Stegostoma tigrinum: one gene and its partners. Each later gene encodes a partner of the first gene's protein in a complex. Links are inferred from orthologs where the notes say so. Each region holds a gene or a part of one and is shown in the gene's direction. Other genes may lie near its edges. The genes, in order: cytochrome c oxidase assembly factor 1 homolog, ndufaf1, smim20 and surfeit locus protein 1.

The links.
Region 2: cytochrome c oxidase assembly factor 1 homolog (region 1) and ndufaf1 share a complex: the UniProt entries of both Homo sapiens proteins name them as parts of the mitochondrial complex. The link is inferred for Stegostoma tigrinum from reciprocal best matches to the Homo sapiens genes COA1 and NDUFAF1.
Region 3: cytochrome c oxidase assembly factor 1 homolog (region 1) and smim20 share a complex: the UniProt entries of both Homo sapiens proteins name them as parts of the MITRAC (mitochondrial translation regulation assembly intermediate of cytochrome c oxidase complex) complex. The link is inferred for Stegostoma tigrinum from reciprocal best matches to the Homo sapiens genes COA1 and SMIM20.
Region 4: cytochrome c oxidase assembly factor 1 homolog (region 1) and surfeit locus protein 1 share a complex: the UniProt entries of both Homo sapiens proteins name them as parts of the MITRAC (mitochondrial translation regulation assembly intermediate of cytochrome c oxidase complex) complex. The link is inferred for Stegostoma tigrinum from reciprocal best matches to the Homo sapiens genes COA1 and SURF1.

Annotation. Positions count from the first base shown.
Region 1 is NC_081355.1:101,831,549-101,839,355, forward strand, and holds the start of cytochrome c oxidase assembly factor 1 homolog, read left to right. Parts: upstream 1-4,830; 5' UTR 4,831-4,904; intron 4,905-4,929; coding exon of another isoform or gene 4,930-4,977; exon of another isoform or gene 4,978-4,992; intron 4,993-5,329; exon of another isoform or gene 5,330-5,433; intron 5,434-7,807. Other genes in the region: blvra (biliverdin reductase A), read right to left, coding at 4,708-4,830. UniProt on the Homo sapiens protein: Component of the MITRAC (mitochondrial translation regulation assembly intermediate of cytochrome c oxidase complex) complex, that regulates cytochrome c oxidase assembly.
Region 2 is NC_081363.1:84,965,859-84,973,526, reverse strand, and holds the start of ndufaf1 (complex I intermediate-associated protein 30, mitochondrial), read left to right. Parts: upstream 1-4,663; 5' UTR 4,664-4,689; coding exon 4,690-5,154; intron 5,155-5,447; coding exon of another isoform or gene 5,448-5,471; exon of another isoform or gene 5,472-5,498; intron 5,499-5,638; coding exon 5,639-5,824; intron 5,825-7,442; coding exon 7,443-7,517; intron 7,518-7,668. UniProt on the Homo sapiens protein: As part of the MCIA complex, involved in the assembly of the mitochondrial complex I.
Region 3 is NC_081354.1:89,191,660-89,198,627, forward strand, and holds the start of smim20 (small integral membrane protein 20), read left to right. Parts: upstream 1-3,964; 5' UTR 3,965-4,029; coding exon 4,030-4,138; intron 4,139-6,968.
Region 4 is NC_081382.1:44,016,198-44,023,987, reverse strand, and holds the start of surfeit locus protein 1, read left to right. Parts: upstream 1-4,775; 5' UTR 4,776-4,892; coding exon 4,893-4,958; intron 4,959-5,154; coding exon 5,155-5,230; intron 5,231-6,214; coding exon 6,215-6,342; intron 6,343-7,317; coding exon 7,318-7,400; intron 7,401-7,785; coding exon 7,786-7,790. UniProt on the Homo sapiens protein: Component of the MITRAC (mitochondrial translation regulation assembly intermediate of cytochrome c oxidase complex) complex, that regulates cytochrome c oxidase assembly.

The DNA of each region.
Region 1 (7,807 bases):
GGGACAGGAAGAAGCGGAGGGCCTTGAGGCCATCTGCATGCGGAATGCAGGTGTATAGGGACTGGACATCCATGGTGAAGAGGTGGTGTTGGGGGCCAGGGAATTGGAAGTCCTGGAGGAGGTGGAGCGCATGGGTGGTGTCATGGACGTAGGTAGGGAGTTCCTGGACCAAAGGGGAGAAAATGGAGTCCAGATAGGTGGAGATGAGTTCGGTGGGGCAGGAGCAGGCTGAGACGATGGGTCAACCAGGGCTGGCAGGTTTGTGGATTTTGGGAAGGAGATAGAAACGGGCCATGCGGGGTGTCCATTTTCTCCCCTTCACCAACAGCTTCCACCCCAACCTTCAGTTCACCTGGGCCATCTCCAGCACATCCCTCACCTTCCTGGATCGCTCAGTCTCCATCTCAGGCAACCAGCTTGTAACTGATGTCCATTTCAAGCCCACCGACTCCCACAGCTACCTAGAATACACATCCTCCCACCCACCCTCCTGCAAAAATTCCATCCCCTATTCCCAATTCCTCCGCCTCCGCCGCATCTGCTCCCACGATAAGACATTCCACTCCCGCACATCCCAGATGTCCAAGTTCTTCAAGGACCGCAGCTTTCCCCCCACAGTGATCGAGAACGCCCTTGACCGCGTCTCCCGTATTTCCCGCAACACATCCCTCACACCCCGCCCCCGCCACAAACCCCTCGTTCTCTCACACCACCCCACCAACCTCCGGATACAACGCATCATCCTCCGACACTTCCGCCATCTACAATCCGACCCCACCACCCAAGACATTTTTCCATCCCCACCCTTGTCTGCTTTCCGGAGAGACCACTCTCTTCGTGACTCCCTTGTTCGCTCCACACTGCCCTCCAACCCCACCACACCCGGCACCTTCCCCTGCAACCACAGGAAATGCTACACTTGCCCCCACACCTCCTCCCTCACCCCTATCCCAGGCCCCAAGATGACATTCCACATTAAGCAGAGGTTCACCTGCACGTCTGCCAATGCGTTATACTGCATCCACTGTACCCGGTGTGGCTTCCTCTACATTGGGAAAATCAAGCGGAGGCTTGGGGACCGCTTTGCAGAACACCTCTGCTCGGTTCGCAACAAACAACTGCACCTCCCAGTCGCAAACCATTTCCACTCCCCCTCCCATTCTTTAGATGACATGTCCATCAAGGACCTCCTGCAGTGCCACAATGATGCCACCCGAAGGTTGCAGGAACAGCAACTCATATTCCGCTTGGGAACCCTGCAGCCTAATGGTATCAATGTGGACTTCACCAGCTTCAAAATCTCCCCTTCCCCCACCGCATCCCTAAACCAGCCCAGTTCGTCCCCTCCCCCCACTGCACCACACAACCAGCCCAGCTCTTCCCCTCCACCCACTGCATCCCAAAACCAGTCCAACCTATCTTTGCCTCCCTAACCTGTTCTTCCTCTCACCCATCCCTTCCCTCCACCCCAAGCCGCACCCCCATTCTCCGACCTACTAACCTCATCCCACCTCCTTGACCTGTCCGTCTTCCCTGGACTGACCTATTCCCTCCCTACCTCCCCACCTATAGTCTCTCCACCTATCTTCTTTTCTCTCCATCTTCAGCCCGCCTCCCCCTCTCTCCCTATTTATTCCAGAACCCTCACCCCATCCCCCTCTCTGATGAAGGGTCTAGGCCCGAAACATCAGCTTTTGTGCTCTTGAGATGCTGCTTGGCCTGCTGTGTTCATCCAGCCTCACATTTTATTATCTTGGATTCTCCAGCATCTGCAGTTCCCATTATCTCTCCCATTTAGGAAAAACATCTTTTTCTAAAAAAAAACATATTCCAAAAGTGCAAGGCACCTGCTACCCATGGTCTCATCATTCCCTACCTTCCCAACTGATGTCCTATCTCTGTCTAAGACCTGTGCTTCATTGCCATCCTTGACTAAACTCCATTGCTGCAACTTTCTCGGTGTGACACAGCATCATTCTCTCATTCCACTTCCAAATAGGGCCTCAGGATTAATACTGGTTCAGCCACACTGCATTTTCCACAGAAAGTATCTGTCTGCTGCGTCAGCATCTGTGTTTCTGCAGTTTACATTTTCTTTTTGACCTGACCACTTTCTTGACTAAGAATAAATTAAAAATTAATCTGAAATGATTTATATGATCATTGCTTATGAAGTGAACTAAAACTTCCTACCTAATTCTAATGCCAGTTGGAACTTTAAGTGGAGTCACAGGTTAACGCATCTCATACTCAAACTGCCCCCTACAACTCTGTGGCATTTTACTTGGAGCAACGCATTGCCGATATCTACCTGTCCTTGAGAAGCTGGAACATTGAGCAATCGGTGTCTCTGCCACTGTTAGCATCCTCCTTACATCTCTCACCTTTCTTCAGGCAACCAATGGCTTCATCACACAAGTATAAACAAAAAATTTCCATTTTCAGGTCGTCCAAGAAGGTGGCGGTAAACTGCCTTCTTGAGCTATTTCAGTCCATGTGCGATAAAGACACACCAACATTGTTGTTATAGGGAGTTCCAGAATTTTGACTCAGCAACAGTGAAGGTATTCAAGTAGCTAAAATGGCCTCTGCCAGTTAGTTTAATTCTCCATTGTGAAATTGGGAAATATCTGGATCTCTACCTTCTCATACAGCGATCCATTATTCAAAACGTGCTCGCGACAAAATCCCCACCCTCCAGACAACATACAAGCCTGACTTGGACCTCGGCCACCATATATATTCACCTCTCAGTCAGAAAATCCTTAGAATTCCTTACCTAGCAGGACTGTGGGCATAGTTAAACCATGTAAATTGTGGTTTAAGATGATAGCTAACCACATTCTCAAATGCACTTAGGGATTGGCAATAAATGCTGGCCTCACCAGTGAGGCTTACACATCATTAATGAATAATTTAAAAAGTATAGTTTTCCATGGGCCCGGGCTTAACTTTCCAACCTTTTAATGTCTTCCTGTTTAGTTCATGGTAGAAACATACCACAAAGGTCATGGATTTTCACCCTCAGTGTGCTTCTCATCATGAATAAGCAATTTAACTGCAGGTTCCTGGAATAACTTGTCTGTTTTTGAAATGCCCAAATGCCACACGAGTGTTGCACTCAGGTCTATATCTAGTACTTGCAGATGCATCAAGTTTAGTGCAGGACAGTGAAAAGATACTGAAGGGAAGTGGAGAAGCAAGATACACTGTGCAAGTGGTTTACTGCAATGTATTGCAGCTTGATAAGAAAGGTCAGCCCTCTCAGTTCCTCCCTTTAGTTATTATTAAGTATTATCCAAGCACTCGAGGAATTTAATAAATTACATTACAGGTTAATTTATTATGAATTTAGCACTAGTTAAAACTAATTTTAGTATTACAGGTACTATCAACATACTTTAATACAGGGTAGGAACTCAAAACACCTGTAATATCTGATTAATACATTTCAAGAAAAAAAAAGAACAATTAGACTGTAGATGCTCCATGTTTTGCATCAGATATCCAACAGATCAAAAAAAATCTTGTTTCCAGTCAGGCAGGAACATATAATTCAAGTTTAGCTTCCTTTATTTCATAGAACTTTATACCACTGAGGGAAGGTATTCAGCCTTTGGTGCTTCTCTCAGCTCTATGAAAAAACATAAGGCAGGAATAGGCCATTCGCTTAGATAATGTGTGACTTCATCCACATTCCCACCTTGGTCAAGCAGTTCATAAGGCCTGTCAACTTAGTCCTGTTCCCTTATCCTTTCCAATATTTATCCATTTTTATTTTTCAAACTATTATGGATTCCACTTTTACCTTTGTTTCTAGCAAGTCCAAACTGTTGTATCAACATGCACTTTTACATACATCTCAGAGTACCAGCACAACGAGCAGTGTTGTGTTAGTGGTCCAATTTTCCTTTCTCTCACATAGGTTACCAGGAATCATTCCCATTCTTATGACTTGCGATTGGTTTCTGGTCAAAGGATAGTTTGGCCATGTTATGGATGCACCAGCATTGGTTATCAGATCTTGGAATGAGACTTAAACCTAGGTCTTTTAGGTCAGAGGCAAAAAGGAGCTATCACTACACCGTACTTCCTTTAACACTGTGTAACGTCCATCAGCAAAACTTCAACACTTACTTTATCAAACGCCTTTTTACGAATCCAGATATACAAGATTCTGTGCATTTTCTTTATTGTATATCACATTACTTCCTCAAAAAAATTAAATGTCAGAAAAAATCCTTTTCCCTTAATGAATCACTGGTTCTTGGGTGTCCCACCAATTTTTGCCCATCAATCAATATGGGTAAACATATAATTTGTCAGCATAACACTCGTGTCTTTGGGAGCTTGCGCTGCACCAACATTTTCTACATTCCATTGACGAGAATGCCCGAAACACCTCGTCGATTGTACCACTAAAAAGGCAACACAGAAGACCACCTGCAAGTTCCCTATCAAGCTACTGTCGTGGAACTACATCACCATTCATTCCCTATTACCGGGTCACTGTCCTGGAATTCCATTCCTCACCGCACTATGGGTGTACTAACCTTCACACAGATTACAGCAGTTCAAGAGAACAGCTCAGCATCAGTTTCTCAGGGGCTAATAGAGATGGCTTAACCTAGAATCCCACATCTCTTGAACGCCTGCGTTTTAAAAAGAATACCACAAAGTCCTGTCTCTTTACCACAATAAACATACCCAATGCGAATTCTCACACCGACCTCCCGAGTGGCTCGAACACACTGTTACATAAATAGTTTCATTCCCCGGGACAATGCGCAGGCGTGTCCTGAACCACATGACCTCCTCCATGTATGCCATAGACCGTATTCCAGTGACATCAGAGCCCACATGCCACGGTTGTCATTATTTCTCAACTTTGCAACGACAGTAAGGTAACGAAACTGAGACTCGTCGCACCAGGCAATATCTTGTTCTATCGTTGTCCACAAAAAAAACCTTGTACATCCATCTTCCAGCTGCACGTTCAGCCCTGTGACTGGGAAAATAACGCGGCGAATAAGATGGGAGGCTCACCCATTACCTAATTGAAATTATTTTGAAACAAAACCAAAGCTGCTGGAAATGCTCAGCAGGTCTGGCGGCATCTGTGAGCGGAAAAAAAAATCAAAGTCAACGTTTCGGGTCCGGTGACACTTCCTCAGAAATTAGTCTAGGTTCACTGGCAAGGAGGAGTGACTGCATCGGTTTATTGGATGAAATGAATTCTAACATGTCACTTTGAGTTTGTTACGGACGTTGATTCGCATGTTTTAGTTTTTAAAAAACCTGTTTTAAATAAAGCGTTCAGGCCATATTTTGATACCTTTTTGGGCTTTAACCAATGTCGCGAGAGTGTCAATGATGCTATCTTGAGCCTGGCAAGATGGCGCTGCCCATGTTGGGAAGTCGCGGTTATTCAATGTGAGTAAATGTGAGCAATCTGATAGCATTTTCATTGTTGCTGCAGACTCGAGACGAAACATTAGTAGCAAAGAGACAGGATTAAATTTAAGGTCGTCGCGCCCTCTCTTCACTGCAATACTGGAACAGATAATTCCGGTTTAATCTTCAGTACATGCTGCCTATGAATGTTTCCAGCATCATAACTTTTTTCTAAATTGAATATTCGTTAGGACGCTTAGTTTTGTCAAATTGCACGTTTTCCCTTTGGTCGTTCTGTTGCAAGGAGCAGCTAAAGTCCCCGGTAATGTCTATCGTTTCTTTGTGTAGTTACTACTTTAGTTTCGGTATCCCTTCTCCCACTCAACCCTCCCCTCCCCCCATAAGAAAAGGCTGAGGCTTGCACAGCAGGTAAGGGGAGCAAGTCAAATAGTCAAGGCAGACAAGATAACGGGGTAAAATTGACAAACGAAACTGCATTTGTCTCCAAACAAGAAACCTCAGAGTTAAGGTAGACGAATTTAGGGCATGGTTGGGAATATAGTAGTGTGCCTCAAGGATTGGTGCTGGGCCTACTGCTTCTCATTTGTATAAATGGTTTGGATGTGGATATGAGGTATGGTTAATAAGTTTGCTGATGATGTTAAAATAGGTGATGCAGTGGATAGTGAAGAATGCTGAGTACAGCAGAACTATGATTGAATGGGCCAAGGAATGACATTCGGAGTTTGATTTAGATAAATGTGAGGTGTTGCATTTTGGCAAGGCAAACCAGGACAGGACTTGTATAGTTAATTGTAGGGCCCTGGGGTGTGTTGCTGAACAATGGGGCCTAGAGTTGCAGATGCATAGTTTCTCGAAAGTGGGGCATGAGACAAACAGGGTGGTGATGAATGTATTTGCATGCTTGCCTTCATTGGTCAGAACCTTGAGTATTGGAGTTGGGACATCATGTTGCAGCTTTACAGGACATTGGTGAGTCCATTTTTGGAATACTGTGTACAATTCTGATTCCCCAGCGATAGGAAGGGTGTTGTTAAAGTTGAAAAGGTGCAGAAAAGACTTAAAAGGATATTGTCAGAACTGGAGAGTGTGAACTATAGAGAGAGGCTGAATAGGCTGGGACTTCTTATGTTCCTGGGAGATTCTTGGGCTGAGGGGTGATCTTGTTGAGGTTTATAAAATCGTGAGGGCCATGGATAGGGTGAACAGTCAGTCTTTTTCCTAGGGGGGAGTCCAAAACTAGATGGCACAGGTTTACGGTGAGAGGGGTAACTTTTTCCACTGAAAGGGTGGTGTGTGTAAGGTACTACTAGAGAAAGTGGTGAAGACTGGGACAATTTACAACATTTAAAAGGTATCTGGATGTGCATATGAATAGGAAGGGTTTAAGAGAGATATAGGCCAAATGCTAGGAAATGGGAATAGGTCAGATTGGGATGTATGGTCAGCTTGGACAAGTTGGACCGAGGGGTCTGTTTCCATGCTATATGGCTCTGGATGGTGCACTTCAGTTTCTGGTCTATGGTAACCCCAGGAATTAGAAATTGGTAGGAATTCAATGAGGATAGTGCCATTAAACATCAAATGAAAATGGTCATTTCCTCTCACTGGACTTGGTCATTGTGTGCCATGAATGTTACTTGCCACTACACGCAAACATTGGCTGCTTCAGTATCCAAGGAGCAGTGAATAGTGCTGAACGTGGCTCAATTATCAGCAAACATCCCTACTTCTGATCTTATGGTGGAGGGAATATTGTTGAAGTAGAAGATGATAGTTGGCTATTACCTCCAGGCAGACATGGTGCAGGACCCAGATAATTGACCTTTAGCAGCCATAACCATCTTCCTTTGTACCAAGTATGGCTTCAACCAATAGAAGGTTTTCCCCTGATTTCTATTGACCCCTGCTTTGCTTGGGGTCCTTGAAGCCAAGTTCCATAAAATGCTGCCTTGATTCAAAGGTGGCCACTCTCTCCTCATCTCTGGAACTCAGTTTTTTGTTCAACTACAGACAATGTTGTAATGAGATCAGGAGGTGAGTCGGCTGTTGGAAACCAAGCTGGGCATCGGTGAGCAGGTATCTCTCTTGCCAGTGCTGATTGGCTCCAAAAAACCAAAAGAACTGCAGATGATGAAAATCAGAAACAACAATAAAAATTGCTGGGAAAACTCAGCAAGTCTGGTAGTATCTTTGGAAAGAAAGCCATTCAGAACTAAATCTGCTTTCTCTCGACAGATGCTACTGACTTGCTGAGTTTTCCTAGCAACGTTTGTTTTTGTTTCTGCTTGATGACTCTGTAGGTAACTCCTTCAATTACTTTGCTTATGACCAAGGATAGACTGGGGTGATAGGCTGGTTGAATTTGTCCAGGAACAACGCATGTCTTCCA
Region 2 (7,668 bases), on another chromosome or scaffold:
TTTGGTTTGGGATTATGGCCGTCATGGACGGGGTGAGACCGAAGGGTCTGTTTCTGTGCTGTATGACTCTATAACTAGGGATGGGCAATAAATGCTGGCCAAACAGAAACATCCTAGTCTGTGAGAGAACAGAACTAAATAAAAGAAAAATCTATTAGAATTTTTTATGTACATCACTAGTAGAAATATTCAGGGGAGCCAGAGATGTGGTTTATTTAGATTTACAGAAGGCTTTTGATAAATTTCCACATAGGAGATTAACGTGTAAAATTTAGAGTGCATGGATTAGGGGATGTTGTATTAAGATGGATAGAAAATCGGTTAGCATGACAACACAGTGTGGAGCTGCAGGAAAACAGCTGGCCAGGCAGCATCAGAGGAACACTAATGTTGACGTTTCCGGTCAGGACCCTTCTTCAGAGATGGGGTGGGGGAAGGTAGCTGGGAAATAAATATAGAGAGGAGAGGTAGGGCTGAGGAAAGTAGGTGGGATGGTGATAGGTGAGTGCAGGTAGAAAGTGGTGGGGATTGGTCAATGGGATGCATGGTGTGGATAGGGTGGGAGCGAAGCTAGACAGATTGTGGTCTGTCTGGTCGAGGAAGCAGGAAAGAGAGGGGAGGCTTGGTCATGGGATGAGGCTGGCAGCAGAGAGATTTTAAAGCGGGTGAATTCTATGTTTAGGCCATGGGGCTGTAGGTTCCCAAGGCAGAATATGAAGTATTATTCCACCAGTTTGCATGTGGTGTCATAGTGACACAAGAGGAGGCCCAGGATGGACATGGAGTGGGACGGGGAGTTAAAATGGTTGGTGACCGGAAGGCATTGTCATTTGTCACGTACGGAACGCAGGCGCTCTACAAAACGGTCTCCGAGTCTACATGTGGTCTCACCTGATGTAGAGGAGGCCACATCAGGAGCAGGGAATGCAGTAAATCCGGTTAGAGGATGTGCAGATGAACCCCTGTATGATATGCAAGGTTTGTTTTGGGTCTTGAATGGAGGTGAGGGGAGACGTGTAGGGGTGGGTGTAGCACTTCCTGTGGTTGCAGGGAAAGGTTCTGGGGATGGTGGGGCTAGTGAGGAGAGTGGAACGGATGAAGGAGTCATGGACCGTGTGGTCTCTGTGAAAGGCAGATGGGGTGAGGAGAGAAATATCTCTTTGATTAGGGGGTCAGATTGTAGGTGGCAGAGAATGATACGCTGGATTGCAGAGGTTGGGATGTTGGTATGTGAGGACAAGGGGGAATTCTGTCTTTATTTTTACTGAGGTTATGGGATGTGAGGGTAGACGTGCAGGAAATGCAAGAGATGAGGTTGAGAGCATTTTTGATCACCGGGGGGGTTTGGGGGGAGAAATGTTACGGTCCTTGAAATAGGAAGACATCTGGGATGTGCATGAGTGGAACGCCCCATCTTGGAAGCAGACGTAGTGGAGGCAGAGGAACTGGGAGTAAGGGATTGCATTCTTGATGGAGGGTGGGTAAGTGGAGGTGTAGTCCAGATAGCTACGGGAGTCAGTAGGCTTGAATGAACTGCCAGTTTCGAGGCAGTCACCAGAGAAGGAGATGGAGAGGGAGGTATCGGAGATGCTTCAGGTAAATTTGAGGTTGGGGTGAAAGATGTTAATAAAGTTGAACTGTTTAAGCTCCTCGTAGGAGCACGAGGCAGCACCCATAGTCATCGATGTAGTGGAGGAAGAGGTGGTATTAGGTATTCAGAAGTCTGGTTAAGAAACATTGCAGTCAATTTTGAGGGTATTTGAAGATTTTAATTTTACTGTGTTGTGACTGTCTGTCTGAACAGTATTCCTGGATTAATACTGTATCCAGTTGTTTTGTAGCTGTTGGGGGTCCCATTATCTTCACTCATCAGTACTATATGCCCCTTGTTGGTTCACGACATGCTGGTGAGTCTATTCACTGCATTTCTGAGCCAAGCTCCTTCCTCACAATTGTCCTAGTGTCATCTATTTTGACAACCTGTGCCCAGCTTTTCCCTTTAGCATGTTATTTTTGAAATGTTAAAGTTCCTGGAATATTCACTTCCTAACCTTTGAGAGGTCACAGAATACAGAAATCATTGTACAATATGGATGACAATTGGTTGAGGAGACAGGAAGTCAACATAATAAGTATTACACACTGATTTGGTCTCTCTGCCTAAGATACACTTGATGTGGAGATGCTGGTGTTGGACTGGGATGGACAATGTCAAAAATCACAACACCAGGTTATAGTCCAAGTTTATTTGAAGACACAAGCTTTCAGAGTCTCATTTCTTCTATACTTGTCATAGATGGAGTGCAGCAGCAGTTCACTCAGCTGATACTGGGGCTGACAGGACTGTCCTTTTTAAGGAGAGATTGGACTGACTGGGCCTATGTTCACTCGTTCAGAAGGATTAGAGAGGGATCTGATTAAAACGTAGAGAATTCTAACAGACAAGATACAGGAAGGATGTTTTCCCTGGTTGGGGAATCTAGGACCAGGGGACTTAGTCTCAGGATATGAATCAGACTGTTTGAGACTGAGATGAAGAAAAATGTCTTCACTCAAAGGGCAACGAATCTGTGGTGGACAAGTCACTGAGTAATTTCTCTTTCCCGAATTTTTCAGATGTTAGCGATGAAAGGGTACAGGAACTAAGCAGGAACAGGGTACTGAGTTGAATAATTAGCCATGATCATATTGAATGGTACAGCAGGCTCAAAGGGCCACACTAGGAGGTTGGGGATTAGGAGGATTTCTGAGGGAGGGGGTCACTTGAGGTCTGGGGCTTAAGACCGTTTTATGATAGGTTTCTTAGAATTTGAGGTTTGGTCGGATTCTTGGGAGGAATTACTGAAGGATTGAGGTGAGGAGGATTTTTTGAGGGGAAGGGTTTTGCTGGGGATGTGGAGGACTTTTTAGGAGATTAGTGGGGATCAAGATCAATTGTAAAACCATTATATGTATGAACAGAAGTTTGCTATTCAGCCCATTGAGTCTGCTCTGCCATTCAATAACCTTGTAGCTGATCTGATAATCCTGAACTCCACTTTCTTGTCTTTTCCCATGACCCTCAATTCCCTTACTGATTATAAATCCGTCTCTATCAGCTTTTAATATATTTAATAACCCAGCCTTGACAACCCTCTGTGGCAAAGAATTCCACAGATTTGCTACTCTGAGAAAAGAAATTCCTCATCTGTTTTAAATGGGCAACTCCTTAGATTGAGACAATGCCCTCTACTCCCAGACACACACTCTCAGGGCAAAACAAGCTTTCCACATCTACCCTGCCAAGTCTCTTCAGAATCTTCTGTTTCGATAAAGTTCCATAGTCTCAAAGTACAGGAAGCAGATTTAAGATTGATGAGTAACTTCTTCACCCAAAGGGTTGTGAATCTGTGGAATTCCCTGCCCAGTGAAGTAGTTGAGGCTAACAAAAACAAAGTTGCTGGAAAAGCTCAGCAGGTCTGGCAGCATCTGTGAAGGAGAAATCAAGAGTTCACATTTAGGGTCTGGTGACCCTGCCTCAGAACTTCACAGATGCTGCCAGACTTGCTGAGCTTTTCTAGCAACTTTGTTTTTGATTCTGATTTACAGCATCTGCAGTTGGAACATAGAACATTACAGCACAGAACAGGCCCTTCAGCCCACGATGTCTTTTGGATTTTAAGTAGTTGAGGCTACCTCGTTGAATGTTTTAAGGCAAAAATAAATTTTCAACAGTGATGGAACAGTTATGGTGAGTAGGCAGATCTGAGTTGACGACAATATCAAGCTGTTATCTTATTGAATGGCGGACCAGGTTCAACGGGCCAGATGGGCTATTCCCGCTCCCGTTTGTTATGTACTCATTCCATTAAACTCCAATGAATACAGGCCCAATCTACTCAACCCCCTTCACTATACAGGGGTATCTTTAGCATTTACTGAGTTATTTGAGGACATTTGGAAGTCTCACTGGGATAATTTTGGGATACATTTGGGAAGTATATATGGGGGCGAATATTTTGGGGGCATTTTACAGTGATTGAGGGGTAACTTTGGGGATATACTGGGGTATTTGGGCTATTACTGGGATATTTTGGGGGAGCATTTGGGAGTTTTTCTGTGGTAATTTGGGGAGGTCTACCAGCATTCTTGGTGGGGTGGACACCGGGTATTTTTTTTGGGATGCATTTTGGAATTTTACTGTGATAATTTGGGTGGGTATAATATTATGGAGGGATGGGGTTACTGGGCTATTTTGGGAGAGGGGCATTTAGGAATTTTACTGTGGTAATTTTGAGGGGTTTACTGGCATTTTGGGGGAGCATTTGAGAGTTTTACTACGGTAATTGAGGGGAGTGTATACTAGTATTTGGGGAGCATTTGGGAGTTTTACTGTGGTGATCTTGGAGGTGTGTGGTGGGGGAAGAGTATACTGTCGTATTTGGGGCGTGGGGTGGGAAGAGAGATCATCGGGCTGTTTCTGTGGACTTTACTGGGGTATTTGCCGGGGGAGTGCGAGTGAAAATTTTCTGCAACAATTTGGGGGTCGTTTTGGAGTTTTTTTTTATTGGGATAATTTGGCGGCGGCGGGGAGAGAGATGTATCGTTGGGGTTATGTTGAGCGTGTTTTTACTACGGTATTTTCCGGGTAATTTCTGGGATTTTTTTGAGGCCTTTCCCCCCCCCCCCGTTACCTGGGAAGCGGTCAAAATGGCGGGCCGCCTCAGGTTGTTGTTGTTGCCGCCGCCGCGGCCGGGCGGCGGGCTGCTGTCCCCGTCGCCGTTCGGGGTCCGCGGTTACCGGCGTCCCGGGGCCCCGGCAAGCCCGCAGTCCGCGCCCTGGAGCTGGCTGAGGCGCGGCGACTGGCGGCAGGGCGTGCGCCGGCACTGGGGCCTGTTGTGGGCCGAGGTGGTGGAGAAGCTGCGGGGCCCCGGCGGCCTCCGCCAGGAACTGCTCGAGCAGAACCGCGTCCTGTGGCAGGCGCGGGGAGCCGGCAGCCTCGACCACTGGCTCGTTTCCAGCGACCGGGAGATCGGGGGCCGCAGCCGGGCCCGCCTCAGCGTCGGGGCCAACGGCAGGACGGCGCTGCTGAGCGGTGAGCTCCGCACCGAGCCCCCCCGGGACGGAGAGACTCGCTACAGCGGCTACTGCAGCCTCAGGAGCCGCCAGCTCAAGGTGCCGGGCCCGTTACCCCACCCACACCCACTCCCCCCACACTCTTTCCTCCTCTCCCACCACACCCACACTCCCCACACACTCTCTTGTCCCCCCCCACCACACACACACACACACACACACACACACTTCCCCCCCCCCCCCACACATTTCCCCCCCCCCCCCCACACATTTCCTTCCCTCCACGCCTGTCCTCCACGTGCCCCTCCTCACAGAGGGTGAGCCCCTCCTCAATTCTCCATTTCCCACGCATCACTCCATCCTGGACTTTCCTCCACCCGTGCCTCACTCACCTGCCCTCTTTCCTTGTTCAGCATTCTGTCTTTCCCTCTTGCCCTTAACGCTCGAACCCTCTCAGCTCTTTACCCCCACCCCCCCCGCTACAACCATGTAGCTCACATGGACAGTTCCCCACAGTGCGTGTGGAGTTCCCAGTGAGTGTGCCGTCACTGCCATCACATCGACTTTCTGCCCCTTTCCACAGGGTGCCTTTGACATCAAGAAGTACCACGACCTGACAAACTTCAACACGCTGCATATTCGTCTCCGAGGGGATGGCCGTCCCTGGATGGTAAACATCAGCAGTGAGATGTACTTCAGCCATCAGAAGGATGACCTTTACAGCTATTTCCTCTTCACCCGGGGAGGCCCCTATTGGCAGGATGTGAAGGTAGAATGGGTTTTCCTCCCTATTTATCTGAAGGTTTTGCTTTATCCTGTGGTTGCAGGATCCCAGTGGAAAATCCTCCATGTATTAGATGTGGAACAATGGGGAGCCTCAATAGGCACCACTCCCATTCCAAAGACCTGAGCTCTTCATTTAGACTGGCAATACCGGACGATTCTGTGGGAGACCTCTACTCCCTTCGGTGGGGATTAGAGTCATAGCATAATGAAATTGGAGCAGGAATTGACCGTTGGGACCTTTTGAGCCTGTTTTACCATTCCCTATGATTATAACTGATTTTTAGGAAAGATTTAAAAGGATGTTACCAGAACTGGAGGGCTTGAGTTATAAGGAAAGGCTGGATAAGCTGGGACTTCTTACACTGGAGTGTAGGAGGTTGAGGGGTGACCTTAATAAAATCATGAGGGTCATAGAAAAGGTGACTAGCAAAGATCTTTTCCTTAAGGTGGGGGAGTTCAAAACCAGGGGACATATTTCAAGTTGGGAGGGGGAAGATTTAAAAGGGACTTGAGGGGCAACTTTCTCCAACACAGGCTGTTATGTATGTGGAATGAAGTGCCAGAGGAAGTGGTAGGTCACCCCTCAACCTCCTACACTACAGTATAAGAAGTCCCAGTTACAACATTTAAAAGCTATTTGGACAGGTATGTGAACAGGGAAGGTTTAGGGAGACATGGACCAAACGCAGGCAAGTGGGACTAGTTCAGTTTAGGAAATCTGGTCAGCACTTTCCTATCCACACCCCGTAATCTGTCAGGACAAAGATAAGTGAAAATAAATGCAATGATGTGTCTTTCTGGAGTCAGAAAATTCCAACGTTTCATAAACCTAATCGTGAAAAGATTCTGCCATGTCTCAGTCATAAACAATTGGCCCCTTATCCTGAGCCTGTGCTCCCTGCATTCCAGATTCCCCTTCCCAGGGAATTTATCTTTCAGTATTGACCCTATCAAACCCTTTCAGAATCTTACATGTTTCAATGAGATCGTCCCTCATTTTTCTGATCTCCAGAATGAATAAGCATAACTTAGTCTTTAATCATTGTACAGCCCTTTCACCCAGGTGCCAATGTAGTGAACCATTTCTATACCAACTCCAATAAAGGACATCCTTCCTTAAATATAGAGACCCAAACCGCACACTAAATTTTAGATATGATGGTAACTAGCCCCTGTACAATTGGGGAAAGACTGCCTGATTACTTGCTGTAACTACGGGCTGGCTTTCTCTGCACAAGTCTTTATTATTTTCAGTTGCTCGTCAGCATTGCTAACAAGGCCAACAACTTGTTGCACATTCTTAATTGCCCTTGCAAAGATGGGACTGAGCTGCCTTCTTGACCCACTGCAGTCCTTGGAAATTTGACCCGGTTACAGTATAGGAATGACAATATAATTATAAGTGAGGATGGTGTATAGCTTGGAGAGGAGCTGTAGTTGGTGGCGTTCTCATGTATGTGCTGCCCTGGTCCTTGTAGTTGGTAAAGGTCACAGGTTTGGAAAGTGCAGGAGCCTTAGTAAGTTGATCTCTCTGCCTCTCAATACGCTCAGTGCACCCAAAGGAAACTTTTCTAACGTCTCTGTTTCTTGTGTTTTTCCAGATTCCGTTCTCCAAGTTTTTCCTGTCTAGTCGGGGTCGAATCCAAGACAACCAGCATCCATTGTGGTTGGACAAGGTTGGAGAACTTGATTGAGCCAGTGTTTAAACAAACCCCGTTTTGGTCTGACAATCATGTCAATGATCAGCAGAACTTCCCCTAGGTTTACGTGGCTTTCGCAGCTGGCGTGAGCACAAGGCAATGCCATTCAGCATAATTTCCCCAAGAA
Region 3 (6,968 bases), on another chromosome or scaffold:
GCACTCCGTGGCACTGAATTCCACCGGCCCACCACTCTTGGCTGAAGAAATGTCTCCTCATTTCCGTTTTAAATTTACCCCCTCTAATTCTAAGGCTGTGCCCATGGGTCCTAGTCTCTCCCATCTACTATAACAAATTCAATCATATTGAGTAAAAACCAAAAGAACTGTGGAAGCTGTAAATCAGGAACAAAAACAGAAGTTGCTGGAAAAACTCAGCATCTGTGGAGAAAAAAATTAGAGTTAATGTTTTGGGTGCAGTGACCCTTCCTTAGAGCTGATGGTAGCTAGGAAACGATTAAATGCAGAATATAGGGAGGGGGAGGGGCAGTAAACTATAAGTAGGGATAGAGCCCAAAGAGAGAGAAGAGCTGTTGGATAGACGAAGAAGTTGATGATGATCTGGCTGGGAGGGTGAATAGCTGCTAATGGGGACAGTTAGTAACCAACAATAGGTAGTGTGTAATGGAAAGCTATGTGATAACAAGACTTGGTGTGTGGGGTAGAGGAAGAGGATGAGGAGGTGGGAGAGTTTAGGCCCTAAAATTATTGAACTCGATATTGAGTCCTGAGGTCTGCAGGGTCCCCAAGCGGAAAATGAGGAAAACCTAAGATGTTGTACCGAGTAATAATGGGAACTGCAGATGCTGGAGAATCCAAGATAATAAAATGTGAGGCTGGATGAACACAGCAGACCCAGCAGCATCTCAGGAGCACAAAAGCTGATGTTTCGGGCCTAGACCCTTCATCAGAGAGGGGGATGGGGTGAGGGTTCTGGAATAAATAGGGAGAGAGGGGGAGGCGGACCGAAGATGGAGAGAAAAGATAGGTGGAGAGGAGAGTGTAGGTGGGGAGGTAGGGAGGGGATAGGTCAGTCCAGGGAAGACAGACAGGTCAAGGAGGTGGGATGAGGTTAGTAGGTAGGAGATGGAGGTGCGGCTTGGGGTGGGAGGAAGGGATGGGTGAGAGGAAGAACAGGTGAGGAAGGCAGAGGCAGGTTGGACTGGTTTTGGGATGCAGTGGGTGGAGGGGAAGAGCTGGGCTGGTTGTGTGGTGCAGCGGGGGGAGGGGACGAACTGGGCTGGTTTTGGGATGCGGTGGGGGAAGGGGAGATTTTGAACCACCCCCAGGCCTCCTACCCTCCCTTGACCTCTTCATCTCTAACTGCCGTCGAGACATTAACCGCCTCAACCTCTCCACCCCTCTCACCCACTCCAACCTGTCCCACCCAGAACGGGCAGCCCTCCGCTCCAACCCCAACCTCACCATCAAACCCGCAGACAAGGGTGGCGCAGTGGTAGTATGGCGCACTGACCTCTACATCGCCGAGGCCAGACGCCAACTCTCCGACACCACCTCCTACCGCCCCCTCGATCATGACCCCACACCCGAGCACCAAACCATCATCTCCAACACCATTCATGACCTCATCATCTCAGAGGACCTCCCACCCACAGCCTCCAACCTCATTGTTCCCCAACCCTGCACGGGCCGTTTCTATCTCCTTCCCAAAATCCACAAACCTGCCTGCCCTGGTCGACCCATCGTCTCAGCCTGCTCCTGCCCCACCGAACTCATCTCCACCTATCTGGACTCCATTTTCTCCCCTCTGGTCCCAGAACTCCCTACCTACGTCCGTGACACTACCCATGCCCTCCTCCTCCTCCAGGACTTCCAATTTCCTGGCCCCCAACATCTCATTTTCACCATGGTCGTCCAGTCCCTATACACCTGCATTCCGCATGCAGATGGCCTCAAGGCCCTCCGCTTCTTCCTGTCCCGCAGGCCCGACCAGTCCCCTTCCACCGACACCCTCATCCGCCTAGCCGAACTCGTCCTCACCCTCAACAACTTCTCTTTCGATTCCTCCCACTTCCTACAGACTAAGGGGGTGGCCATGGGCACCCGCATGGGCCCCAGCTATACGTGCCTCTTTGTTGTTACGTGGAACAGTCCCTCTTCCACACCTACACAGGCCCCAAACCCCACGTCTTCCTCCGTTACATTGATGACTGTATCGGCGCCGCCTCTTGCTCCCCAGAGGAGCTCGAACAGTTCATTCACTTCACCAACACCTTCCACCCCAACCTTCAGTTCACCTGGGCCATCCCCAGCACATCCGTCACCTTCCTGGATCTCTCAGTCTCCATCTCAGGCAACCAGCTTGTAACTGATGTCCATTTCAAGCCTACCGACTCCCACAGCTACCTAGAATACACCTCCTCCCACCCACCCTCCTGCAAAAATTCCATCCCCTATTCCCAATTCCTCCGCCTCCGCCGCATCTGCTCCCATGATGAGGCATTCCACTCCCGCACATCGCAGATATCCAAGTTCTTCAAGGACCGCAACTTTCCCCCCACAGTGGTCAAGAACGCCCTTCACCACGTCTCCCGCATTTCCCGCAACACATCCCTCACACCCCGCCCCCGCCACAACCGCCCAAAGAGGATCCCCCTCGTTCTAACACACCACCCCACCAACCTCCGGATACAACGCATCATCCTCCGACACTTCCGGCATCTACAATCTGACCCCACCACCCAAGACATTTTTCCATCCCCACCCCTGTCTGCTTTCCGGAGAGACCACTCTCTCCGTGACTCCCTTGTTCGCTCCATACTGCCCTCCAACCCCACCACACCCGGCACCTTCCCCTGCAACCGCAGGAAATGCTACACTTGCCCCACATCTCCTCCCTCACCCCTATCCCAGGCCCCAAGATGACTTTCCACATTAAGTAGAGGTTCACCTGCACATCTGCCAATGTGGTGTACTGCATCCACTGTACCCGGTGTGGCTTCCTCTACATTGGGGAAACCAAGCGGAGGCTTGGGGACCGCGCAATAAACAACTGCACCTCCCAGTCGCAAACCATTTCCACTCCCCCTTCCATTCTTTAGATGACATGTCCATCATGGGTTTCCTGCAGTGCCACAATGATGCCACCCGAAGGTTGCAGGAACAGCAACTCATATTCCGCTTGGGAACCCTGCAGCCCAATGGTATCAATGTGGACTTCACCAGTTTCAAAATCTCCCCTTCCCCCACCGCATCCCAAAACCAGCCCAGTTCATCCCCTCCCCCCACTGCACCACACAACCAGCCCAGCTCTTCCCCTCCACCCACTGCATCCCAAAACCAGTCCAACCTGTCTCTGCCTCCCTAACCTGTTCTTCCTCTCACCCATCCCTTCCTCCCACCCCAAGCCGCTCCTCCATCTCCTACCTACTCACCTCATCTCACCTCCTTGACCTGTCCGTCTTCCCTGGACTGACCTATCCCCTCCCTACCTACCCCACCTACACTCTCCTCTCCACCTATCTTTTCTCTCCATCTTCGGTCCGCCTCCCCCTCTCTCCCTATTTATTCCAGAACCCTCACCCCATCCCCCTCTCTGATGAAGGGTCTAGGCCCGAAACGTCAGCTTTTGTGCTCCTGAGATGCTGCTGGGCCTGCTGTGTTCATCCAGCCTCACATTTTATTATGTTGTACCGAGTGCCTTTGTGCCTAAGATGATGCTTGGCCTGCTGTGTTCATTCAGCTCGACACTTTGTTATCACAGTTTCTCCAGATTCTGCAGTTCCCATTATCTGTGATGCTGGGAATAGTGACTTTGTACACTTTTCACTGTACTCCTGCATCCCTGTACTTCAGAACAGTTGACAGTAAAATCTAATTATAATTCCTCAGGAGGAGGAGCCAGGCATTGTTGTTTTCGGTGACTGAGAACTGAACGTATGAAGTATCCACAGCAAGAAATGCTTCATGACATGAAGCCACCGGATGAGAAATTGGCAAACTATTTGAATAAGAGATAGCAACAATCAGAAAGGAAGCAGACTGGGCTCAGCGCGTGCGCAGTGGAGCAGAGTGCGCTAAGATGCCATTCGGTGGGAATTGCCCGTCTCAAAGGTGGCGGCCGCGCACCCGGTCACATGATACTTCGCGCACGCGCGTACCGGGACGGATATAGGAAGCAATTGTCGGGGTGGGAGAGTCGTCCGTTCCGATCCGTCAGCGTGCGCCATGGCTGGGCATGCGCGGGTGGTTTTGTTGTTCGGTGGCTTCGCCGCTCTGCTGGGAGCCGCCTTTTACCCCATCTACTTTCGGCCGCTGATTTACACCGAGCAGTACAGTGAGTGAGAGAAACAATCTGCGGCGGAGGTGGATGGTCGGTGCGGATACGGCTAGTTACCGGCTCTAACTCCCACCCTTTCCTGCTGTGTCCCCCTCCCCTCACCCCCTGTGGATTTGATGATGTTTCATCAGAGTGAGGGTCACGGCCTTAGGACGTGTGGCTGAAAGGGGAGAGTTGCCTTTGATCAGGGTGATGAATCTGTGGAATTCTCGACCACGAAGCCAGGTCACTGAAGATAATAAAATGTGAGGCTGGATGAACACAGCAGGCCAAGCAGCATCTCAGGAGCACAAAAGCTGACGTTTCGGGCCTAGACCCTTCATCAGAGAGGGGGATGGGGAGAGGGAGCTGGAATAAATAGGGAGAGAGGGGGAGGCGGACCGAAGATGGAGAGAAAAGAAGATAGGTGGAGAGGAGAGTATAGGTAGGGAGAAGATAGGTCAAGGAGGTGGGATAAGGTTAGTAGGTAGGAAGTGGAGGTGCGGCTTGGGGTGGGAGGAAGGGATGGGTGAGAGGAAGAACAGGTTAGGGAAGCAGAGACAGGCTGGGCTGGTTTTGGGATGCAGTGGGTGGGGGGAAGAGCTGGGCTGGTTGTGTGGTGCAGTGGGGGGAGGGGAAGAATTGGGCTGGTTTTGGGATGCGGTTGGCGAAGGGGAGATTTTGAAGCTGGTGAAGTCCACATTGGTACCATTAGGCTGCAGGGTTCCCAAGCGGAATATGAGTTGCTGTTCCTGCAACCTTCGGGTGGCATCATTGTGGCACTGCAGGAGGCCCATGATGGACGTGCCATCTAAGGAATGGGAGGGGGAGTTAAAATGATTCGTGACTGGGAGGTGCAGTTGTTTATTGCGAACCGAGCGGAGGTGTTCTGCAAAGTGGTCCCCAAGCCTTCGCTTGGTTTCCCCAATGTAGAGGAAGCCACACCGGGTATAATGGATACAGTATACCACATTGGCAGATGTGCAGGTGAACCTTTGCTTAATATGGGAAGTTATCTTGGGGCCTTGAATGGGGGTGAGGGAGGAGGTGTCGGGGCAGGTGTAGCACTTCCTGTGGTTGCAACTGAAGGTGCTGGGTGTGGTGGGGTTGGAGGGCAGTGTGGAGCAAACAAGGGAGTCATGAAGTGATTGGTCTCTCCGGAAGGCAGACGAGGGTGGGAATGGAAAAATGTCTTGGGTGGTGGGGTCAGATTGTAGATGGCGGAAGTGTCGGAGGATGATGCGTTGTATCCAGAGGTTGGTGGGGTGGTGTGTGAGAACAAGGGGGATCCTCTTGGGCGGTTGTGGCGGGGGTGGGGTGTGAGGGATGTGTTGCGGGAGACGTGGTCAAGGGTGTTCTCGACCACTGTGGGTGGAAAGTTGCGGTCCTTGAAGAACTTGGACATCTGGGATGTGTGGGAGTGGAATGCCTCATCCTGGAAGCAGATGCGGCGGAGGCAGAAGAATTGGGAATCGGGGATGGAATTTTTGCAGGAGGGTGGGTGGGAGGAGGTGTATTCTCGGTAGCTGTGGGAGTCAGTAGGCTTGAAATGGACATCGGTTACAAGCTGGTTGCCTGAGATGGAGACTGAGAGATCCAGGAAGGTGAGGGATGTGTTGGAGATGGCCCAGGTGAACTTGAGTTTGGGGTGGAAGGTGTTGGTGAAGTGGATGAACTGTTCGAGCCCCTTTGGGGAGCAACAGGCAGCGCCGATGCAGTCGTCAATGTAACGGAGGAAGAGGTGGGGTTTGGGGCCTGTGTAGGTGTGGAAGAGGGAATGTTCCACGTAACCTACAAAGAGGCAGGCATAGCTGGGGCCCATGCGGGTGCCCATGGCCACCCCCTTTGTCTGTAGTAAGTGGGAGGAAACAAAAGAGAAGTTGTTGAGGGTGAGGACGAGTTCGGCTAGGCGGATGAGGGTGTAAGTGGAGGGGGACTGGTTGGGCCTTGAGGCCATCTGCATGCGGAATACAGGTGTATAGGGACTGGACGACCATGGTGAAAATGAGGTGTTGGGGGCCAGGGAATTGGAAGTTCTGGAGGAGGTGGAGGGCGTGGGTGGTGTCACGGACGTAGGTAGGGAGTTCTGGGACCAAAGGGGAGAAAATGGAGTCCAGATAGGTGGAGATGAGTTCGGTGGGGCAGAAACAGGCTGAGACAATGGGTCGACCAGGGCAGGCAGGTTTGTGGATTTTGGGAAGGAGGTAGAAACGGGCCGTGCGGGGTTGGGCAATAATAAGGTTGGAGACTGTGGGTGGGAGGTCCCCTGAGATGATGAGGTCATGAATGGTGTTGGAGATGATGGTTTGGTGCTCTGTGGTGGGGGGGGGTGGGTGGGTTCATGATCAAGGGGGCGGTAGGAGGTGGTGTCGGAGAGGTGGCGTTTGGTCTCGGCAATGTAGAGGTCAGTGCGCCATACTACCACTGCACCACCTTTGTCTGCAGGTTTGATGGTGAGGTTGGGGTTGGAGTGGAGGGAGCAGAGGGCTGCCCGTTCTGCGGGGGAGAGGTTGGAGTGGGTGAGAGGGGTGGAGAGGTTGAGGCGGCTAATGTCTCGGCGGCAGTTGGAGATGAAGAGGTCGAGGGAGGGTAGGAGGCCTGGGGGTGGTGTCCAGGAGGAGGACTTGTGTTGGAGGTGGGTGAAGGGGTCAGTGGCGGGAGGGTTGGGCTGCTGGTTGAAGAAGTAAGCGTGGAGGCGAAGAGCAGTTTTTCCGCCGCCTTTGTCCAAACGTGACTGGTATTCGTTCATGTGTGGTTGTTGGGGGACAAAGGTGAGCCCCTTGCTTAGGACTGACCGTTCGTCCTCAGTCAGTGGGAGGTCTGGGCAGATGGTGAAGATTCAGCAGGG
Region 4 (7,790 bases), on another chromosome or scaffold:
ACACACTGACTCTCACTGGGGTACAGTCCCACACACACTGACTCTCACTTGGGTACAGTCCCACACACACTGACTCTCACTGGGGTATAGTCCCACACACACTGACTCTCACTGGGGTACAGTCCCACACACACTGACTGTCACTTGGGTACAGTCCCACACACACTGACTCTCACTGGGGTACAGTCCCACACACACTGACCCTCACTGTGGTACAGTCCCACACACACTGACTGTCACTAGGGTACAGCCCCACACACACTGACTCTCACTGGGGTACAGTCCCACACACACTGACTCTGACTGGGGTACAGTCCCACACACACTGACCCTCACTGGGGTACAGTTCCCACACACTGACTCTCACTGGGATACAGTTCCATATGCACTCTCATGACTACTCTTCCTCTGTATTCTTGGTCGGGAGGTATTAGTTTTGAATGTGGTTATTCTGTTCATTCAAGGTATAGAGCTGGATGAACACAGCAGGGCAAGCACCATCAGAGGAGCAGGAAGGCTGACAGGTCTTCACAAGTGTCTAGGCCTGAAATGTCGGCTTTCCTGTTCAGCTGATGCTGCTTGGCCTGCTGTGTTCATCCAGCGCTACACCTTGTTAGCTCAGATTCTCCAGCATCTGCAGTTCCTGCTAACTCTGTTCATTCACACAGGTTTCTATGTACTGATATTTTTGTCAAGCTGTGGATTGTGGTGAGGTAATCACATCTGAAAGGCCTGAAGTGGCAATATTAACAAATCTGCAGCAGCTCAACTTTCAAATCCAACAACTTGGGGAGCAGCTGTCATTCCAGCTCAATGATTACGCTGTTAGACTGTGAGTGAAATGTAAACGGTGCCATTTTCTCATTGTAAACATTTTTCTCAATGCACACGAGATCAATAATTATCAACACAGGGCAGCATTACGGTGATGTGAAGAGGATTAATCTGACAAGAGGGTTAATATGGAGCAAGTGAAGAACATTCTTCACTTGCCTTTTTTGTCAAGCTGTGTTATTCCAGGCAGAGCTTTCCCCAACACACTGGTCTGAAGATGTTGCTCCAGTCTGATTGCTCCATGTCAGGGAGTCTTCCTTGTGATTTTAACTAAATAGTTCACTTGCATTCCTGAAGGCCAGGCATTCACTGACCCTGAAGGCATCAAACTAGTGTGCAAAAAAACAAATTATCTGCATTTATTTATTTTCAAAAGGTCAGCTGAAGTAAAATGGAGTTTTCTGAATGCTCTGTTCTGCTTTGTACACGTACCAGAGAGCCAAGGAAAACAGTGAATCCAAAATACCATGAACCCAAACTCTGAACCTCAAGCACCAAGAACTGAAACACAAATGTCATAAACTGTAAAAAGTGAAACCAAACAGTTTGTCCCCCACTGAACCCCAGCTCTGGAGAGATGGAGTAAGGCTACATTCCCTTCCACTCAGACAAACCAGGAACAAAGGACAAAACTCTGAAGAGGAGCATCTCCTCTGGTCACTTCCAGCAACAATAAGTGCAACTTAATAAAATAAATAACTGAGTGTGTATCTATCATTTGAAGGATCACTGAGAGGAAAGTTCATTAAATTTAAAATGTTTAAGAAGTTGTGTTGAATGTATGTTTCACATTCTAGCATAAACAGGGGCCAAGGAAACTGCTTTATCATGACAGGCACCTGAGTCCGGTGCTTCTGAAACTGTTCATTTTGTTTCATGTTCCATGCTTTTCTGTCTCTTGATTCTATCTGAGAACATTGCCAAATAAATGTGTTGCTTGAAAAGGTTGGGCACACTATTTTTGAATAACGCAACGCAAATAGATTGAAAATAATTTGTGACACACCAACTAACTGCCAACATATACCAATTTAATAACAATCATGTTTTGCTGTACGAGTCGTTGTCAGTGTTGGGTAGAAGGTTCAGGGAGAACTGGAAAAACAAATTAGAGAAACAAACAAAGAGTACTAGAAGAGACTGATAGTGAACAAAAAAATAAATGCAGAAGTTTTCTCTAGACACAAAAAGTAAAAGAGACTAAAAAGAGGATTTACACATGGAGACAATAGTCCTGGCTTGTGCTAAATGAACATGTAGCAGCACTGTGTTCCAGAAAAGAGGTTGTCCCAATCATAGTGAAGGACGAGATTGTTCAGACACTTGAAAGGTTTAAGATTGATAAGGAGATGGGATTGGACAGGCAGTCCGCACTTAAAGTTGTTCAGGTACCATAACTGGGTGAGGTGCTCTGAGGACACTGAGGTAAGTGAGAGAGGAAATTGCAGAAGCACTGGTCATAAATTGTCAATCTTCTTCAGAGTCAGGGATGGTGGAGAATTGTAAATGTTACACCATTAGTGCAGCAACTACAGGCTGGTCATTTTAACTTCACGGGTGGGAAAACTACGATTGTTCAGGACAGAATTGGGCAAATGTTGGGTCATTGAGGAAAGGCAACATAGAATTGTTAAGGGTGAATAGTGCTTATCTAACCTGACATTTTTTGATCAGATAACAGGGAATGGGTAATGAGGATAATGATGTTAATGTGTACATGGACTTCCAAACTTCATTTACACAGTGACTCCTGGACTTCAGGGGTTAAGTTACAAGGAGAGGTACACAATTTATATCTGTTTTCTCTAGAATTTGGAGGGCTAACGAATGATATAGTTGAAGTCTTCAAGATATTAACAGGAAAAGATAAACAGATAAAGTGATGGAACATGTCATCAACAGTGCTGTCAAGCAGCACCTGCTCAGTGATGCCCAATTTGGGTTCCACCAGGGATACTTAGCTCCAGACCTCATTACAACCTTGGTTGAAACACAGACAAAAGAGACCTGAAATGCAGAGGTGAGGTGAGAGTGACAGCCCTTGATATCAAGGCTGCATTCGACTGAGTGTGGCATCAAGGAGCCCTGGCAAAGCTGCAATCAGTGGGTATCGGGGGCAAATGCTCCAGTGGTTGGAATCATACCTGACATAGATGAAGATGGTCGTGATTATGAGAAGTCAATCAGCTCAGCTCCAGGACATCTCTGCAGGAGTTCCTCAGGGTAGTGTCCTAGGCCCAACCATCTTCAGCTGCTTCATCAATGAAATTCCCTCCATCATAAGGTCAGAAATGGGGATGTTCGCTGATGATTGCACAGCACCATTCGTGACTCCTCAGATACTGAAGCAGTCCGTGTCCACATGCAGCAAGATCTGGACAATACACAGGCTTGCGCTGATAAGTGGCAAGCTGTGACCATTACCAATAAGAGACAATCCAACCACTACCCCATTACATTCAAATGTGTCACCATCACTGAATCACCCAAGATTAACACGCTGGTTGTTATCATTGATCAGAAGCTCAACTAGAATCCACATCAATGCAGTGGTTGTAAAAGCAAGTTAGAGGCTAGAAATACTGCTTCAAGTAACTCACTTCCTGACTCCCCAAAGCCTGTCCACCATCTACAAGGCACAAGTCAGCAGTGTGTTGGAGTACTCCCCACTTGCCTGGATGAGTGCAGCCCCAACAACACTCAAAAAGCTTGCCACCATCCAGGTCAAAGCAGCAACTGATTGAATGGCACTGCATCCACAAGCATCCATTCCCCACACCACAGACACTCAGGAGCAGCAATCTGTACTATCAATAAGATGCACTGCAGAAATTCACCAAAGATCCTCAGACAGCATCTAAACCCAGGACTACTTCCATCTAGAAGGATAAGGGCAACAGATACATGAGAACACCAACACCTTCAAGTTACCCTCCAGGTCACTCACCATCCTGACTTGGAAATATATCGCCGTTCCTTCAGTGTTGCTGGGTCAAACTCCTCCAATTCCCTCCCTAAGGGCATTGTGGGTCAACCTACAGCAAATGGACTGCAGCAGTTCAAGAAGGCAGCTCACCCACATCTTTTCAAGGGCAACTACGGACAGGGCAATAAATGCTGGGCCCAGCCAGTGATGCCCACATCCCACAAAATGAATAAATAAAAGAACAATTTTTAAAAAAGACAAGCTGGGTAAAGATAAACTGTTTTCACTGTTTGCTGATTCTAGTGCCAGGTGCATAGGGTTGAGAATTAGGGCCACGCTGTTCAGGAGAGATTATCTCATATTCTCCAGTATTGGCAGTTCCTACTATCTCTGTTCAGGAGATATGCTAGGAAGCATTTCAATACACAAAGGGTGGTAGACTTTGGAAAATCTCTGTCTCAAATGTCAGTGGATGCTGGATCAGTTATTAATTTAAAATCTGAGATAAATTTTTGTTAAGCAAGCTATTAGGAGGATGGAAAAATAGAACATCCTTTATGGTCCAAAGGGCCAAACGCAGGTACCATGGAGTTAAGCCATAGATCAGCAATGATCTCATTGATTACTTTTCCACTGCTGGGATGAGGACATTGCTAACCAGACCAGCAGTTATTGAGGGTCACCCACTACTGTGGGTTCGCAGTCACATGTTGACCACACACGACACTGAAAGGCTAGCAGCTTCAGAGGGCCAGCAGGACACGGAAGGGGCGAATGGACTGCAGTGTGATACACAGACAAAGTGTAATTCAGGAGACACCATTGAGAAGCCACAGGCAGAGCAGGAACACACCACGTGGCAGCGAGGCCCCGCCCCTTTAGTGTGGCGCCGCGGTTGGGCTCAGCCGGAAGTGACGGCATAGTTCCGCTTCCGGGTGAACATGCTGCGGATTCTCCGGTGTTCGCCCCGGGTGAGAGACCCCGACACCGCCCCCCACCCACCCCCCTCGCCCTCCCCACACACCCCCCCCGTACTGGAACAGCACAGCTCGGGCAACAGCTTGTTCTGGAGTACAAATCATCAGTGTCATCGCCAGAATGTTGTCAGGGCCTATAGCCTTTGCAGTATCCAATGCCTCCAGCCACTAATCTAAAAGCCAGCCTTTCCCCAGTTTCTGGAATCGTGCATTTTGCTGAGGTTTGTTGTGTGATGAGATAGTTCTGTCTAAAGGTCTGGCTTTATTTGAATGGGCTGAATGGTCTTCTCCTGAGCAGATTCTACTAAACCGTGAAGTGACACTGAAAGAGAGATATTGGCTGTTGTATCAGTGAGGCCCATGAGAAGTATCAGGGGTCAAGCCTTATATAATGTTTGCTTTCTGTTTCACCTGCAGCTCTTGAATGCTTGTTCGGCAGAAGTTTTTCCTGGGACTGAACTGGTCTTACCCCATGTCAGAGCAAAACTTGCAGGTAGGCAGCTGTGGTTACAGCTTGGAAATCCTGACATTAATATTCCAACTTCAGCATTGTGCAAAAACACCAAGATAATTCACAGAAAAATCAATCAACAGAGTTTAACATTAGAGTCATAGAGATGTACAGCACAGAAACAGACCCTTCGGTCCAACTCGCCCCTACAGACCAGACATCCTAAATAAGTCTAGTCCCATTTTGCCAGCATTTGGTCAATATCCCCTAAACTCTCCCTATTCATGCACCCTTTTAAATGCTGTAACTGTACCAGCCTCCACCCCTTCCTCTGGCAGCTCACTCCATACACGCACCACCCTCTGTGTGGAAAAAGTTGCCCCTCAGGTCCCTTTTATATCTTTCCCCTCTCACCTTAAACCTATGCCCCTCTAGTATTAGACTCCCCCCACCCTGAGGAAAGACCTTGTCTATTTACCCTATCCATGTCCCTCATGATTTTAGAAAAAGGTCACCCCTCAAACTCCAATGCTCCTGGGAAAATAGCCCCCCGCCCATTCAGCCTCTCCCTGTCGCTCAAACCCTCCAACCCTGGCAACATCCATGAAGATCTTATCTTCACTCTTTCAAGTTTCACAACATCGTTCCTATAGCAGGGAGACTAGAATTGCACACAGTACTCCACGTCAGGGCAAGTAAGCAGGATTGATTTTTCAGAGCATTAATGAAGCAGAGAATGGCAGAGAGGTTTCAGGCGGGAATTCCAGAGCTTGGGGGCCAAGCAGCTGGGGCATGGCCACCAAGGGAACAGCAAAGGGAAACAGAGAGTGTTTGAGAGGCCAGGGTGGAGGCACACAGCTCACAGGGTCAGGGGTGACAGAGATGGGGGCGGGTGGAGGGGGTGACAGAGATGGGGGCGGGTGGAGGGGTGACAGAGATGGGAGGGGCTGGGGATCATGTGATGGTGATAGGGAGAGGTCTTGGCCTCTGATTCCTGTCGGGGTTAATTCTGTGTCTCTGCTGAAGGGGTTGCTAAGAGACGAAATGGGGTGAACATTTCCACGACCACAGTTGCCACGGGGACCGATGATTCATTCCTGAAGTGGACCCTGCTCCTGATTCCTGTCACTACCTTCAGCCTGGGCACCTGGCAGGTAACCACTGGGAGTGGTGGTACATGCAGGTCACGGGAGAGGGGAACAGTTGGGTGTGGGTTGGCGCAGGTTTGGGATGGATGGATGGATGGAGGGGTTTGGGATGGATTTAGAGGTTTGGGTGGAGGGATGGGATGAGGTGGAGGGATGGGGATGGGGTGGTGGGAGGCAATTAGGTGGATGGATGGGGTTGGAATAGAGGAATGGGGTTGGAATGGAGGAATGGGGTTGGGATGGATCGGGGGAGTTGGGTGGAGGGATGGGGATGGGATGGATGGAAGGGCTTGTGTGGAGGGATGGGGTCGGGATGGATGGAGGGGATTGGGTGGAGGGATGGGGTTGGGATGGATGGATGGAGGGGATGGGGTGGAGGGATGAGGATGGGGATGGGATGGGATGGAGGGATGGTGTTTGGGCGGAGGAATGGGGTTGGGATGGATGGGGGGGGTATTGGGCAGAGGGATGGGGTTGGGATGGAGGGGATTGGGTGGAGGGATGGGGATTGGGATGGGGTAGAGGGATGGGGATTAGGATGTTGGGGGGGGATTGGGTGGAGGGATAGGGTTGGGCTGGATCAAGGGGATGGGGTTGGTATTGTTGGGGGGGTTGTGTGGAGGGGTGGGGATTGGGCTGGATGGAGGGGATGGGGTGGAGGATTGGGGATTGGGCTGGATGGAGGGGATGGGGTGGAGGATTGGGGATTGGGCTGGATGGAGGGGATTGGGATGGATGGAGGGAATGGGCTGAAGGGATGGGGAATGGGCTGGGGTTGGGGAGATGGGGATTGGAATGGATGGAGAGGATGGGGATGGGGTGGAGGGATGGGGATGGTGATTGGGATGGATTGAGGGGATGGGGATGGGGTTGGGCTGGATGGAGGGGATGGGGATTGGGATTGGGAGGGATGGATGGAGGGGATGGGGATGGGGGTCTGAGGCCTATTGCTGCTCTTTCAGGCTCTCACTGTCTGCTCAGGTGCAGCGGCGGAAATGGAAGCTGCAGCTCATCAAGGACCTGCAAGCACGAACTCGCTCGGAGCCACTGCCCCTGCCCCTGGGGTAAGTCACACTCTGCTCCTGCCCCACCCCCGGGGTAAGTCTCACTGAACTCCTGCCCATGGGGTAAGTTACCCCGAGCCCCTGCCCCGGGATAAATCACCTTGAGCCCCTGCCCCTGTCCCCGGGATAAGTCACCCTGAGCCCCTGCCCCTGTCCCCGGGGTACGTAACAGTGGGCCCCTGCCCCCCCACCCCTGGGGTAGATCACACTGAGCCCTCCTCCAGGCTAAGTCGCATTGATCACCACCCCCCAAGGCCCCACAACCTCGGGGTGGAGGGGAGTCACACTGTCCTCCTTTGTGATGGTTTCTGTTCAGGTGGGGGTGGGTTGTTCACGGCTGTTTCACTGTCACATAGACTCTGAGCGTTGCCTGTCTATGTCCCAGGCAGT